Mytilus edulis: one gene and its partner. The protein of the gene in region 1 interacts with the protein of each later gene in a pairwise test. Links are inferred from orthologs where the notes say so. Each region holds a gene or a part of one and is shown on either strand. Other genes may lie near its edges. The genes, in order: fasciculation and elongation protein zeta-2-like and short coiled-coil protein B-like.

The links.
Region 2: the proteins of fasciculation and elongation protein zeta-2-like (region 1) and short coiled-coil protein B-like interact in a two-hybrid assay, tested with the Caenorhabditis elegans proteins (2 studies listed by BioGRID). The link is inferred for Mytilus edulis from reciprocal best matches to the Caenorhabditis elegans genes unc-76 and unc-69.

What each region holds. Positions count from the first base shown.
Region 1 is NC_092346.1:56,389,832-56,397,426, forward strand, and holds the start of fasciculation and elongation protein zeta-2-like, read left to right. Parts: upstream 1-4,489; 5' UTR 4,490-4,712; coding exon 4,713-5,026; intron 5,027-7,595.
Region 2 is NC_092351.1:56,891,565-56,899,739, reverse strand, and holds the start of short coiled-coil protein B-like, read right to left. Parts: upstream 3,113-8,175; 5' UTR 2,998-3,112; intron 1,085-2,997; 5' UTR 1,037-1,084; coding exon 973-1,036; intron 1-972. Other genes in the region: uro-adherence factor A-like, read left to right, coding at 4,647-4,783.

The DNA of each region.
Region 1 (7,595 bases):
AGGCATTTAAAGCTCGTTTTATTTATTTACCAAAAAAATCTCAAGTGGCATTTATATTATTTCAAATAACATATTATTTGTCACTTATGAGATAATTTCTGATATTTTGACAGAAAAAAAAGTATTGAAAAAAACAAATTCCAAGGCTTAATTTCTGATATATTGACAGAAAAAAAAGTATTGAAAAAAACAAATTCCAAGGCTATTTTAAAAAAAGGGAAACCCATTCAAACTGATAAAATCAAAGAATACTGAATTTTACCCGACCTGTGGATCCTGTTACTCTGTGGTTGCTGAGACAAGTCAAAGTTTATATAAAATAAGAATGATAACCAACGAGTCAACCACCAGAGAATAAAACATATAGACATAGCATTAAAATGTCACTGTATGGCATTCAAAAATGAATAATACTCATACAATATAATTGAAAAACTCACATGACAAAATGTTAAACTTTTCAAACTAAAAAAAAAGTTTCAACAAAATAAACGACCAAGGACCACAACTTAATTACATGCTCCTGACTAGGGACAGATGCATTCAAAATGCAACTAGATTAATATATAAATATATGATATTGCCAATAAGACAACTCGACACAAGAGACCAAATGACACAGAAATTAACTGCTATAGGTCACTGAAAACCCTTCAACAATAAGCAAATTCCATATTTGCAAATCTCTATTGTTCACTCACATGGGACAGTGGTGTGTAAAGGCACAACTTGAATGATCTTAATAATGACAAAATTTGTTAAATAGTGAGCTAGTTAAAAACCAGTTAAAACATAAATTAATCATGTTACATTGGTTTGAACCGTTAATTACATTGAAAACAACATTCTGGGTGCAATCGCACACAGTACATTACATGTTTCTTCTCATGAGAGTGCCAGATTGCTTTATACTGATATAATTTGAACAAATATTTAGCATGGGTGTAGAATTTTCATTATTTTATTGAAACAACAATTCTATGGTTATCAAATATCAAAGCGTTATCATTTATAAGCAGTCTCAAACTCAAAAAAGCAAAACTTAAGACATGCTATTTCCATTGTCGATGAAACAAAATTAGTTAATGATTAGGTCAGTTTAAAGAGAACCACTCAATTATACTCTTGTTATGCAGATGAATTGGCATTGTCACATCTCATTTCCATTGAGTTTATGTTGCTCCACCTGTCTATTATGGTATTGACAGAATGTTGCAAAGTTTATGATATGAATATTAACCAAGTTAATGTTAATATTTGGTATGCACTTGTCTTATCATTTGCAAGTCAACACTCCAATTAAGATTAAATGGCTCAAACTATATCATGTTAAAGCAACATGGTCACTATTTTTCAGAGACAAGACTTGGCAGACATAGGACTTCCTACAGTCTGTCTTTGTATGTGTCCAAGTAAAACTTTATAAATGACATCAATATCTCTGTCAAACCTTGATCATAAGACTTTTTGAATGCTCAAAAGACACTGTCCGGGGTAAATTTTGAAAATCATTTTTATACGACCGCAAAAATTTTAATTTTTTGGTCGTATATTGCTATCACGTTGGCGTCTGCGTTGTCGTCCGAATACTTTTAGTTTTCGCACTCTAACTTTAGTAAAAGTGAATAGAAATCAATGAAATTTTAACACAAGGTTTATGACCACAAAAGGAAGGTTGGGATTGATTTTGGGAGTTTTGGTCCCAACATTTTAGGAATTAGGGGCCAAAAAGGGCCCAAATAAGCATTTTCTTGGTTTTCACACTATAACTTTAGTTTAAGTGAATAGAAATCTATGAAATTTTGACACAAGGTTTATGACCACAAAAGGAAGGTTAGGATTGATTTTGGGAGTTTTGGTTCCAACAGTTTAGGAATTTAAAAGGGCCAAAAAAGGGCCCAAATAAGCATTATTCTTGGTTTTCGCACAATAACTTTAGTATTAGTAAATAGAAATCAATGAAATTTAAACACAAGGTTTATGACCATAAAAGGAAGGTTGGGTATGATTTTTGGAGTTTTGGTCCTAACAGGTTAGGAATAAGGAGCCCAAAGGGTCCAAAATTGAACTTTGTGTGATTTCATCAAAAATTGAATAATTGGGGTTCTTTGATATGCCGAATCTAACTATGTATGTAGATTCTTAATTTTTGGTCCAGTTTTCTAATTGGTCTACATTAAGGTCCAAAGGGTCCAAAATTAAACTTAGTTTGATTTTAACAAAAATTGAATCCTTGGGGTTCTTTGATATGCTGAATTTAAAAATGTACTTAGATTTTTAATTTAATATTGGCCTAGTTTTCAAGTTGGTCCAAATGGGGGTCCAAAATTAAACTTTGTTTGATTTCATCAAAAATTGAATAAATGGGTTCTTTGATATGCCAAATCTAACTGTATGTAGATTCTTAATTTTGGTCCAGTGTTCAAATTTGTCTACATTAAGGTCCAAAGGGTCCAAAATTAAACTAAGTTTGATTTTAACAAAAATTAAATTCTTGGGCTTATTTGATATGCTTTATCTAAATATGTACTTTGATTTTTGATTATGGGCCCAATTTTCAAGTTGGTCCAAATCAGGATTCCATATCAAGTATTGTGCAATAGCAAGAAATTTTCAATTGCACAGTATTGCACAATAGCAAGAAATTTAATTGCACAATATTGTGCAATAGCAATTAATTTTCAATTGGAGTTATCTTTCTTTGTATAGAATAGTAGTTGATAATATATGTTGGAAATTTGCCAGACATGACTATGATGTCATTTTCTATTTTTATTTGCCAATAACTTTATGTAAATAACTTCATTGGAAATTTGCCAATATAAAATGTTGCTGATGAAGCTTTTTTTCCTTATCTTATCTAAAATGTTTTTAGATAATGTATGTTGGACATTTGCCAGACATGACTATGATGTCATTTTCTATTTTTATTTGCCAATAACTTTATGTAAATAACTTCATTGGAAATTTGCCAATATAAAATGTTGCTGATGAAGTTTTTTTTATTGTTTTATACAATAAACAATGTATATTCACTTTTACTACCAACCAATCTTTACCATTCAGTGATAACAAGCACTTTATTTTACATTTTAATATTTTATGATGTATTTAAAAGAGTAGTTATTGTTGCAAACTCCATTAGAAATTTGAATTGATATCAGTTTTGGAAAAAGGAAAACGGTGATGTGAAAAAAAGGGGGGGGGGGGTTAAATTTTTCTCATTTCAGATTTCATAAATAAAAAGAAAATTTCTTCAAACATTTTTTGAGAGGATTAATATTCAACAGCATAGTGAATTGCTCATAGGCAAAAAAAATTAGTTAGTTCATTAGACCACATTCATTCTGTGTCAGAAACCTATGCTGTGTCAACTATTTAATTTTAGATTTAAAAAGTTTGAAGAAGAAATCTTTAATTGATTTGTAAAATCTTGACATTTGTTTTGTGTAAAAAAAAAACCATGTTATGTCAAAAATTTGATCACAATCCAAATTCAGAGCTGTATCACGCTTGAATGTTTTGTCCATACTTGCCCCAACTGTTCAGGGTTCGACCTCTGCGGTCGTATAAAGCTGCGCCCTGCGGAGCACTTGGTTGTTAATTTTTTCCCTATTTTACTGTTAAATTGACTCAGCTTTTTCACAGTTTAATAACAGTAAGTTGCATGAAATGGTTAATTTTTTTCAAGACACTTCTTTTTTTCAAGCCTTTATGGAAAGAAAATTGGACTGTCTTGAAAGACTTTCGTTGTCAAAAGATATTGTATCATGTCCAGCCTAAAATTTGAATGAATTTTTTCTCTTCTATTTTCTGAAAAATAGATCAAATCTTTTAGCAGTTAACTTTTGTTTAACATTTTGGGTTAAAGTTTTTTTTTCTCAATATAGTGTGGACACAGATAAGTTTGGATAGTAATTAATTTATAATGTTTGTATACAATTAAAATAAGATGTGGTTTGATAGCCGATAAAACGACTCTCCAATAATCTACAAAAAATATTTGGCACTCACCGTAGACTCTCAAACTATATATCAGCTCAATATGAGAAGGAGTTTAGGAAACTAGTCTGTTCATTGCATAATATGACACGAGGGTTTAACAATATGACCCCAACTGCTAAGATGGTCTGCCACGAAAACTGGTCGTCAAGATATAGTCTGCATGGTTAATAGTGAATGAATTGGTGATAAAATAAACAATCCCTCCCACATTATTATAATTGGAATTCGAGAATCTGAAAATTAGATAAGCCAGTCAATGTTTTGAAACATATGATTTTTATTTGACGAGACCCCTTTTTGTGTCGATTGACCAAGTGATGTTGGCAAAATATAAACGTCAAAACATTCTTTGCACATCTTATGATTACTGAGGAAATATTTGTATTACATTATATCAGAGACCTTTATGTCTCTGTTTATATTGTAGACAAAATCAAGATAAAATATTTGTGAAAGGAGCCACTTGTTTTGTCTTTCTATGGCCGTGTCTATTAATAAATTGTGAAAATTTATTTTACATTTCAGCTTCAGCACAGGCACCTTTCTCTCGAAAATAATTTTCCTTTATAGCTTAAGAGATCCAAATAGTACCGTGCACATGATTTTTTCAGACAAGTGCCTGTGTTGAGTTGTCTTTCTTCTAATGAAATGAACACTTCAGTCTAAATAAAAAAATTATCTAAAAGGTGAAGGTCAGAGATGTCAGGATGCGGGGAATGAAAATGGCGGAGCTACATTTCGAGGCTCCACTTGCAAAATTTGAGAATGAGGAACTTGCAGAGTATAGTGATTTTCAAGGTGTAAGTGAAACAAGTAGCCTTTTAAACACGGACATGTCAACTGCTCATGAAGAAAGTGAACATTCTGAAAACTTCGCGGAAACGGTGTCTGAATCATTGGAAGATTTGGTGAATACATTTGATGAAAAAATCACAAAATGTTTCTGCAATTTCGAGGACAAAGTAGATCATATAGCTCCAGTTCAAGTTAGAACACAAGAGGAGGTAGTTAAAGATTGCCAGTAAGTATTTGCTACTAACAGATCAAGAGTTTATGTGTCATGATCAAAACAAAAAAAGACAACCTCATCAGACAACAGTTTGGGTGCTGTGGAACATTGACATTGTCATAAAATATAATAGGGACTATAATAGTTATGATTACACAGCTTCAGGTTGGACAATAGCCCTGAACAGCCCAAATAATGCATAGGACATTTTAGAATATTTATATGAGATGTTCATGAGGTTGGGAACAAATCCTCTACATGGTTATCCATCTATAGAAGGATTATTCCTCTATACAAGACTAATCACCATATACAAATGTAAAGGGTTCGTTCGCAACCTGTTCATTTTCAACCTGCTAAAAATAATGATTTATGAATTTTAAAAGTCAAAACAGATCATGAATATGATACTAGATTATGTATGTACTAATAGATTCCTTCATTATTCTGAGCAACCCTCAAGGGTACAGTGGAATTTGTGTAGAGGAGATACATGTGTCACTTACATATTTTCAACGATATTTACAAGGACAAATTATCCTGGCCCAATGCCTACTCACAGGTAGTGATGGGACATCGGAAAGTCTTTTATTGGCGGAGGCCAAAGTACTTGAACAAAGTGACTGCAGGAACAGACGAACTGAAGAGATATCAGTCGATTGATCTTCAGGTCAAAGTTAAGGGCAGCTTTGACCAACAGTGGCCCCCAGAGTACCCATTTTAGTTTAAACACCAGTCTGGGTCCCAAGGACCACAAACCCACACTAGATTACCCCCTCTAAAATGTTATTTGGTTTGTTTGTCAATATGATTTAGGTAGATGGGCAATCTTATTTTATTTTAGATACATATACTGACATTTCTGGTATTTAGGTTTTTATTCCTTATGGTGCCTGTATTTATCAGGTATTTAATTTTCATTGAACTGGTTCACATTTTTATTCAGGGGCCAGTTGAAGGCCTCCTCTGGGTGCGGGATTTTCTCATGGTGTTGACGATCCATCTGTGACCTTCCTCTGTTATCTGCTATTTTGTTGGGATGTTGTCTCTTTGACATATTCCATAGATCCATACTTAATTTTATTTATTTGATAAATATATAAGAAATTAAATATACATGTATAAATATTAGAATTTGCTAAAAAAAATACAAAAAAACAACAACATGGAAATAGATTAAGTTTAATTGCTTGTTTTATTGGCTTCATTGTTACATTTTTTAAATTTAGAATTTGTTTAAGTTACAGTTGATTGTAATTTAGAATAAGAAAACTGGAATGATGATTATAAATAGATGCATTTGATCTCACTTTTTGCATTATCAATTGTCTTTACATTGTAGTGGTTTTATAAATAAAATAACAATTTTTAAAAGTAAACTACTTCATTGTGTAATGTTGAAGGCAATACAGTGGACTATTCATTTTGTGTTGGCTACTATCAGTATCACATTTTAAATCAGCTGGTGGATCTACTTGTCTCATTGGCTATTATATAAAATGCTCTATTAAATGATATATTTTACTACTATAACAAAACAAAATAAGAATCAGGGTGAATTTTTTTTTTTAGTTTGTATCTTTTTGTTAAAATGTTCTTAACTGTACATGTAAATTGTGTTTATATACAAGTCAGTATTTAGTATACATTTTGAAGTTTCCCATATTTTTTATGGTGTATGCAAACATGGCTATCCAAAGTAAAAGACATACTGTCTACCTTCAGTTTTGTTTGCCTGGTTTTATGCAAAGGTATTCATATAAAATTACTCTCTAAGACAGAATTTACAGAGTTCCAGAAAAAAAATTCACATGTCAGTTACATGTATTTGTAACTCTATAATCAGGTGTTATCTTGGAAATTTGTTATGATTGACACTCGTTATATGCTAGAATGGGAGTATATCAAAGAGACATCAACCTGTCAGACTAGAAAGCAAATAATAGGGACCAATGTGTCTTCAATTGGCTTCAGCTAGTCACTAAACAATAATGTACATATAAACTGTTTCAGTGAAATGGACCCAATACTGAAGTTCAAAACATACAAATGAACCAAAATTAAAAAAAAGCACAAGACTAACAGAGGCTAGAAGTTCCTGACTTGAGAGCTTGGGGCAAAAATGTGGGTTTTAGTATTTCAGCACAAACATGGTTATAGTATGTACAGGTAAACATGATAATTTCATAATTTTGCAGTTTTAAACTATTGTGTAAAAATCATTACTTAAAAACAATATATAAGTCAAGCAGATGCAATATGATGTTTTTATTAAAACTACAGTCATTTTTATAAATTTTCTGTTTACAAAACTTTGAATTTTTTGAAAAACTAAGGATTTTCTTACCCCAGGAGTAGATTAACTTAGCCGTATTTGGCACAACTTTTTGGAATTTTGGGTCCTCAATGCTCTTCAACTTTGTATTTATTTGGCTTTTTGAACTATTTTGATCTGAGCGTCACTGATGAGTCTTATGTAGACAAAACGCGCGTCTGGCGTATAAAATTATAATCCTGGTACTTTTGATAACTATCAAATAATCAAAACAAAAATAGTCTTAAAATTAATGGTTATTTTGGT
Region 2 (8,175 bases), on another chromosome or scaffold:
TTTTCTACATGCAATTTAATTTGCAAGCTGGTATAAGTAAGTAAGTAAATTATTTATTATAGTGACATGTGTAAATTATGTACAGATTATAAAGAAAATAATAGAGTTTTACTGTTTATCATATTTCATGAAATGTTGTCATTTTAGCATCGCATAAGTGTAAGGTTTGGCTAGCCATTAAACCAGGTTCAACCCACTATTTTTCTTAAAATGTCCTGTACCAAGTCTGGAAGATGAAGGTTGTTATCAAATAGTCTGTTTCTATGTAATGTTGCCGTTTTTTTTTTTTAGAAGTTTGGTGTTTCTGTTGTTCTGTTTTTTTCTTCTTCTAATTGTTGATGTGTTTCCCTCAGTTTTTGTTTGTGACTCCATTTTGTTTCAGTTAAATTGATTTATAAATAATCAACAGTGGTATACTACTATTGCCTTTATTAAAATATTTTCTGATTCTATTGATAAAAGAGAATGTGAAGAATTCTTCTGAGACAGCAACCAAACAACACAGAATTCTGCCTATCAATCTGCACAAGTTTGCTATAATGGTTTAAAACCTTTTTATTTGGTAATAATTATTTCATTTTTTTTCAAAGCTGTTGTGCATATGCTCATCAAAGTTTCAACAAGATTGTGTCCATATAACATAGATGCCAAACACCCGCTATCATTTTCTATGTTCAATATCAATAGACCGTTAAATTGGGGTTAAAATTCTGATTTGGCATAAAATTAGAAATATCATATCACAGGGAACATGTGTTCTAAGTTTCAATTTGATAAGACTTCAACTTCATCAAACACTAACTCTAACAAATTGTCTAACCTGAAGCCAAACAGACAGATGTCAGACTGAATATCAAATGCACAGACCTAAAGTGGGGCATAAAATATTTTTTTACAGAAACATGGGCTAGTGCCTCCTGCAGGAACTTGTATCATAACATGTTGACATTAATGTTGTACTCTGATACACACCTGTGTCACTGTCACTTGACAATGGGACACTGTATAAATCTTCTTTCATGCCTTCCCCAGACATGATTAAAGTCTTGACAAATTCTACCACTAAAATAGTCAGTTGAGTATCCTGTAAATACACACAGAATTAATTTGTTAAGGTTGTACCTAACACTACAGGGAGATAACTCTGTAAAATCAGCTAAAGGTTTTAATTACGTTGTGTTGTAAAGGGAATATTAAGCTTCTCAACGATCAAAATAAATGTTTGTCAAACTGCTATATAACCAGTGTAATTTTTCTGACAAAACAGTTGGTTTGAAATTTTTATGTTTTTGTTGAAGGGTCAAAGTTAATACATTGTCAAAGTTTAATGAAAATTAAACGAGCCAAATTAATTTTAGGTACCACCTTAACACATTGAAATGTCGCAAAATGACATGTCAATAACTCTAGTCTACAATTAAAAAATGCTAGTGTTTAAATTTGTTCTCCTTGAAAATATGATGGGTCCATGAAATAAAGAGATGGGCAACTCTATTTTATGACCATACTTAAACTTTCTATTGAAATATAATATGACACCCTCCTCATTTTTCAAATCATTTGTTACATGTATATTTTGTACTAAAATATCTATTGTATTGCTTGACATGTTAAGTTTCAATTCATACCCAACCTTCTTCTATGAAATACATGTATTAAGGGCCACGATATCACAAGATTTGCTTATTTGTCAATCATGTGTATGATAAGTCTCTCACTTAAGGTGATACCTAACACTACAGGGAGATAACTTCGTAAAATCAGCTAAACGTTTTAATAACATTGTGTTGTTAAGGGAATATCTTCTCAATGATCAAAATAAGTGTTTGTCAAACTGCTATATAACCACTGTAATTTTTCTGATTAAATGGTTGGTTCAAATTTTTTGAATTTTTTATATTTTGGTCAAAGGGTCAAAGTAAATGCTTTGTCAAAATTTTATGAAAATTAAACGAGCCAAATTAGTTTTAGTTAAAAGTGTTGGGTACCACCTTAATACATCTTAATTTAAAGAACATGAAGCCATTTTATAGTTTTATGTTACCTTAGGAGTTTCAATGTTATTCGGAATGTTATAAATTAAGATCATGGTCAACAAAATAACATAAAAAACTTTTGTATGAATCATACTGTTAATTTTATTTGTTTGCAGGCACACAATGATTTAGGCTGTTCACACTTCTTTGGTCCGTTCGCCCTGATTCTAGCCCGTTCCTGTTTGCCCTAACTCCTGTTCGTCCTGAGTCCATACACGGTGATCTTGGGTTATATTGCATTGTGTGTATACATTTGAATATGTTTAAAACGTGTGTCTACAATTTCACCAAATATTTATTTATGATGTATTATGTTGTCTATCTTCTACCAGGAAATAAGTTTCTGTGAATTCCAGGACTACAAGATATTTAATATAAAAAAAAAAGACTAAGTTATCTGTATTTATTCATTTTTATTGATGCATTTTAACAATATAAAAACATTCATGCCTGTCCAAAGTTAGGAGCCTGTAATTCAGTGGTCGTTTAATTTGTTTATGTGTTACATTTCTGTTTTTTCAATCATTATTTGTACATAAATTAGTTATCTCAATTGAACTAACCTAGGGCGAACATGTAATCAGGGCAAGTTAACCTGATACCGGTTGGATCTACCAAATTACCAAGTGCTTGTCCCATGAATACATAATTTAAAAAATATTGTATGTGCTAAACATATGTCATATAGTAACAATTGTCTACTGTATATAATAAAACAGGTTAATGATGTGATAAATTATATAACTGATTAAGCAAATTTCAAAATGCAAATGTATATATGTCGTGAGTGTTCACTCAGTGCATCAATAACTGTTAGTGGGATGCTGAATAAATAATGTGATTTCTGAATCACATTATTCGTCAGGAAAATCGTTCTTCTAAATATAATATAATGCAGACACAAAAGGCTAAGTACAAAATATGTCTCCTGCATCTAATTGATAGTTAATTTCAGTGATACCTTAAGAAATTATATCAAATAAGTGAAATAACTGTTTGTTGATATTTCCAAAATCTACTTCCGTTTCTCCATTTTTTCAATAGTCACATGACAGTGACGTCACACAACAGGTACTCGTTCACACACGAATTCATTCAACCTGTCAACAGAAGAAAAAGTGCATGAAAAACAATATCTAAAACTTTTTAAAACATGTTGAATAACAAATTTGGATATTTTCTTCAAAAGTCGAAGTATAACAAATTGACATTTATTTAAAATGCAAAAATAAAGCATTGATGGAATAAACTTCGGAACAGGTGAGAGAAAAATAATCAATTTTTTAAAGAAACTTTCTAAAGTTGTGTATTTAAGTCATATTTGGTGTATGTTTCATGTCGTTATTTAATTAATAGACGTAATTATTACAATCATTAGGTATTTAATGAATTTACAGGTATATTCTGACACAGATTACCTGAAACATGTGCTTTTTATGGCCAGGTGAATTATTTCTGACAGTAGTTTATAATAATATATCTTCGCGCTGCCTTAGGCAAGATTCTCTCCTAACAACACCGATGTGTTAATTAACAATTTAATGGGCCATTGGTTGGTAATACTCAAAATAATAATACACATTACAGCTGATTTAGAGAGGGGACAGTTTTAATTGTTACCTAAATAAGTTGATTGGATTGGACGGTGTTAGATGTTTTCATAAGCCAAGAAAAATTGAAGCAGGCTTACTGAGTAACCATACTGGAAAAAAAAAGGTTAATAGATAAGAACATAAGTGGATATAGTACATGTTTTGGGATATCCTATTCAAACAAGGTAATTTGAGGTTAACTTTCTTGGAACAGGTACACTTTAACTTATTTTTTTAACTATACTCTTATATCCAGTTATCCATCAGATTTTTTATGATTTCTTGATGCTATCTTAGTTTGCAGAAATTATTATTATATAGTTATAAATGACTCTCTTATTGTACATGTGTTGCTACTATGTCATGTACTAAAAATGTAAGTGTATGATAAAGTTCTTAATATTGCACTTTGTGATTTTAAATAATTACAAATGTACATTTGTACCTTAAATAACCTGAATAGTCATGATGGATATTATTTTTTTATCATAATAATGAATGTAAAATACATATATATACAAACCATGCAAACAGAATTAAGATATATTTAGTGTCAAATAGTATACCTGAGACTACTATAATTAACACATGTGTTATAGTAGTCTCAGAGTATACCAAGGAGACAGCAACACCTTTGAAGTTTACATAAAAGTTTACTTGTAATTAAGACATTAATTAGGCTGGCCAATGATTTGTATAGCAATTGAGACGTACAATGCAAATCCTCCCCTTAGGCAGACCTGGATAAAATGAAATGAATGAATAGGAGATTTTAGAATGTCTTGGGAAATAATCTACATGTAATATTTATAACATCTGGTTTTTTGGGTCATTTTATATGTATATTATTCGAAAGGCTATATTTATTTTAATACACTGATTTTCATTTTGCAAACTTTTCAAAATCAGATTCTTTTCTATATTGTAGGAATTTTCTTTTTGGATTTTAAGTTGTAGCTGTATCTTTATGTAAGGCTTTGGAATATAGAGTATGTCATCTGTATGTCAAGGCTAACATATGATTGACAAAGTAAACTCCGACTATGCCATCACTATGTCGTGTTGTGATAATATACTGCAAAGGATTAACAATGAACTACCTGACGAGTGGGAGGCAAAGTTGGTGGCAGAGCAGGGACGCATTTATTATCTAAGGTAGGTGTTGGGCAGGTGATGTCCTAGAAAGACTTCCATTTGCCGCCCCCCCCCCCCCCCCCCCCCTCCCCCCTTTTCCCCTCTGGTTGATAGATTAAGCAAAATGCACATGTAAGGGGTTTCAATGGAAGTTTGCCAATGTCTTACTCACTAGGGTTGTGCCAATAGATTTTGTTACGGCATATAAACAGTAGCAGTTCTGCACTGGTATATTAGATGAAGCTACGCAATATACATGTAGCAATACATGTATGACTAGGTTATACAATTGTTTCAAACAGTATGAGTTGCATACCGTATCTGAATTTTTTAAAAATGGTAAATATAAAGATAAGGAGATGTGGAGTGATTGCTAAAGAGACAACTTTCCAATAGAAAACAAAAGACAAAGATGTTGACAACCATAAGTCACTGTCCAAACTTGTTATGTATAAAAACACACTGTAATGTATATAGAAAGCTTTAAAAGAGCCTGGCATGTCATGAGGACCACCATGACCACATTAGCAACAATTTTATAGAGAAATCCAACATTAATCCTTTTATAGTGGACTATGTGGTACAGGGATGGGGTAATCGTAATCTGTAATCGTAATCAATTGTAATTGATTACATACTAAAATTTGAGTAATCGATTATTCGATTGCACAAAAATCCTTCATGTAATCGATTATTCATGTAATCGATTATTAATCGATTACATTTGTCAGTAATCGTGCCCATCCCTGATGTGGTATGAGTTTTGCACATTGTTGAAGGCCATACTGTATCCTATAGTTGTTAACTTCTATTTCTTTGGTCTCTGGTAGACAAATGGTAGAAATATGTCTCATCATGCTCATTGGCAATCATACCACATCTCGTTATTTTTTATATAAATGTATATTATAAGTTTTTTGGTACATGTAAATGCAATTACAACACATGTAATCTAACTCCGTTAAAACGAAGGTGCAGGACCTAGGAATATTTGTGAACAATTTTTTGTTTTACTTCTCAGAATTGCTCTTTGATATTCTCAGTCATCCTTATGGCCTTCACTCAATCTTCAACAAAGACTTGTCAGGTTGAATTACTATTTTATCTTAAGATAAAAAGATTTTAAATGATATTGTTACAAAATTGCACTAGTCTTAGTCCAATGTGCACTTAAAATATTTTAGATGATGGCATTATAGTTTGTGGTTTCTATCTTTTTTAATCTCCCTAGGTATGGTTCATTCAGAAAATAAAATGTCAAAGAAAAGGAATGATGATTCAAATCTCGACAATGTTTAAAACTCCATCTTTTAATCTACAATGTTATGTTCCACTCGAAAATAAAAAGAAAAGAAAAAGATTAATCTGCTTGAAATCTTGTCAGTATTAAAAGGTTGTCTACGAATCTCTCCATTTACAAAGTCTCTGAGTCTGTTCCACTCCAAAAATAAAAAGAAAAGAAAAAGAATCTGCTTGAAATCTTGTCCGCATTAAAAGGTTTTCTACAAATCTCGCCATTTACCAAGTTTCTGAGTCTGTTCCACTCCAGAAATTAAAAGAAAGAAAAAGAATCTGTTTGAATTATCATCAGTATTAAAAACTTTGTCTTTTAATCTCCCTATTTTCAATGTCTGTTCCACTCCAAAAATAAAAGAAAAGAATTAAGGAATCTGTTTCAAATCTCAAAAGAATTTAAAAGTTGTGCTTGGTGTACTATACAATTCTATGTCTTAGAAATCAATAGTATAACATGGGAAAAGTTTATCTACATTTAAACACAGCTTTCCTCTTTCTTTCATGACACTAACACATTGAGAGAACAAATAACAAAAATTTCTAGATTAAACAGATAAAAACTTCATAAAAGGGGAAAAACATCTTTGATGAAGCGGACATCTATTGATTTGCAAATCATTTTCACTGAAAAATCCATTTATTAACGACATAATCAGATTATTGAAACCCTCTTTTATAATAGTATTGCAAGAATAAACAATACTGTTACGAACGGTCATTGGTTTCTGTTTGAATGACACAATTGTCCGATTCTCTTTGATTAGAGATTATATTTACGAAGACAATACTTAGAATCTTGTCCATTCATGTAACTTCATTTCCGATTCCAGAGTTGACAATTGATGGTGGTCTTTGATACAATTTTTATCGCCTAATGAAGTTGTTTAGGAACGAACTTGTCAATAACTTAATTCTGATTAAATTATAGATAAGTTTACAGAAAGATTGATCGAAACTGACATGACAAACGTCCATTTAATCGATTTTCATTGTTGATATATACTGACCATGTCATATGAAATTTACATTTAACATGGGTTTTTTTAGTTATTTATTCAATTGACACATATGGACTTACAGTGACCTATAGTCATGATAGTTGTTAATTTCTGTGTCATTTGGTCTCTTGTGGACAGTTGCTTCATTGGAAATCATACCACATCTTCTTTTTTATAATTTTTAAATAAAATCCTAATTCCAATTACATGAATTACATTATCTACTCATCATGCTCATTGTTAAAAGCCATTAGAATTTTTTTTTACAATTCTGACAAAACTTGAAAAATTTATTCATAATCAAAAGACAGTATAGTTTATAAGAAAATTATCGATAGATCATTTGATCACACTTAGCTGGATTTATGAAATTATGTAATAAATAATTGATTTTAAATTCAAAATATCCTGTAGGTCAAATGAATCAAACTTGAAACTTAAACATTCTTAAAATTATTCAAAAATTGTATGTTGCTATCAACATGATACATTTGGTTTATGTAACTTTTGATGAGTTTTATTTGATTGTAACTTATCTTCAATTTTTTTTTTAAAAGATAAACTGTTATACATTTCAGTTTTAGCATTAATGATGCTAAATACCAAGTTTTGGAGATAAGAGACTCATTCAAAAATACTGCTGTAGTTGCTTGCTTAAATTAAAGGTTGAGATTTTATTTTAATGAACATATTTGAATATATTTGCTAAAATAAGAGTTAAAAGGAGAGGCTAACAATACAAGAAGACAAAGACAGAATTTTAGTTAAATTGAAAAAAAACCTGACATGGATCTTAATTGATATAGAAACTATTAATTGATTGATTGATTGATTTATTTTTGATTGTTGAGATCTTGATATCCAGTGGCAAATATTTTATTAAAAAAAGGCAATATGATGCGATAACAATTTATTGAAAAAGAGTCTATATATAATAAAAGATGTTGCCAATGTTTTACATGTTAAGATGACTGTCCAAATACTCTATTTTGTATCCAAGTGATTTTAAAGTATCTACATTTGCTTATGAGTCATACTAGAGTGCAGTCTGCTAAAAAAAAACCAGATAAACAGTTTTAGGATGTTCAGATGATTAAAATATTATTGAAGTCTTTTAAT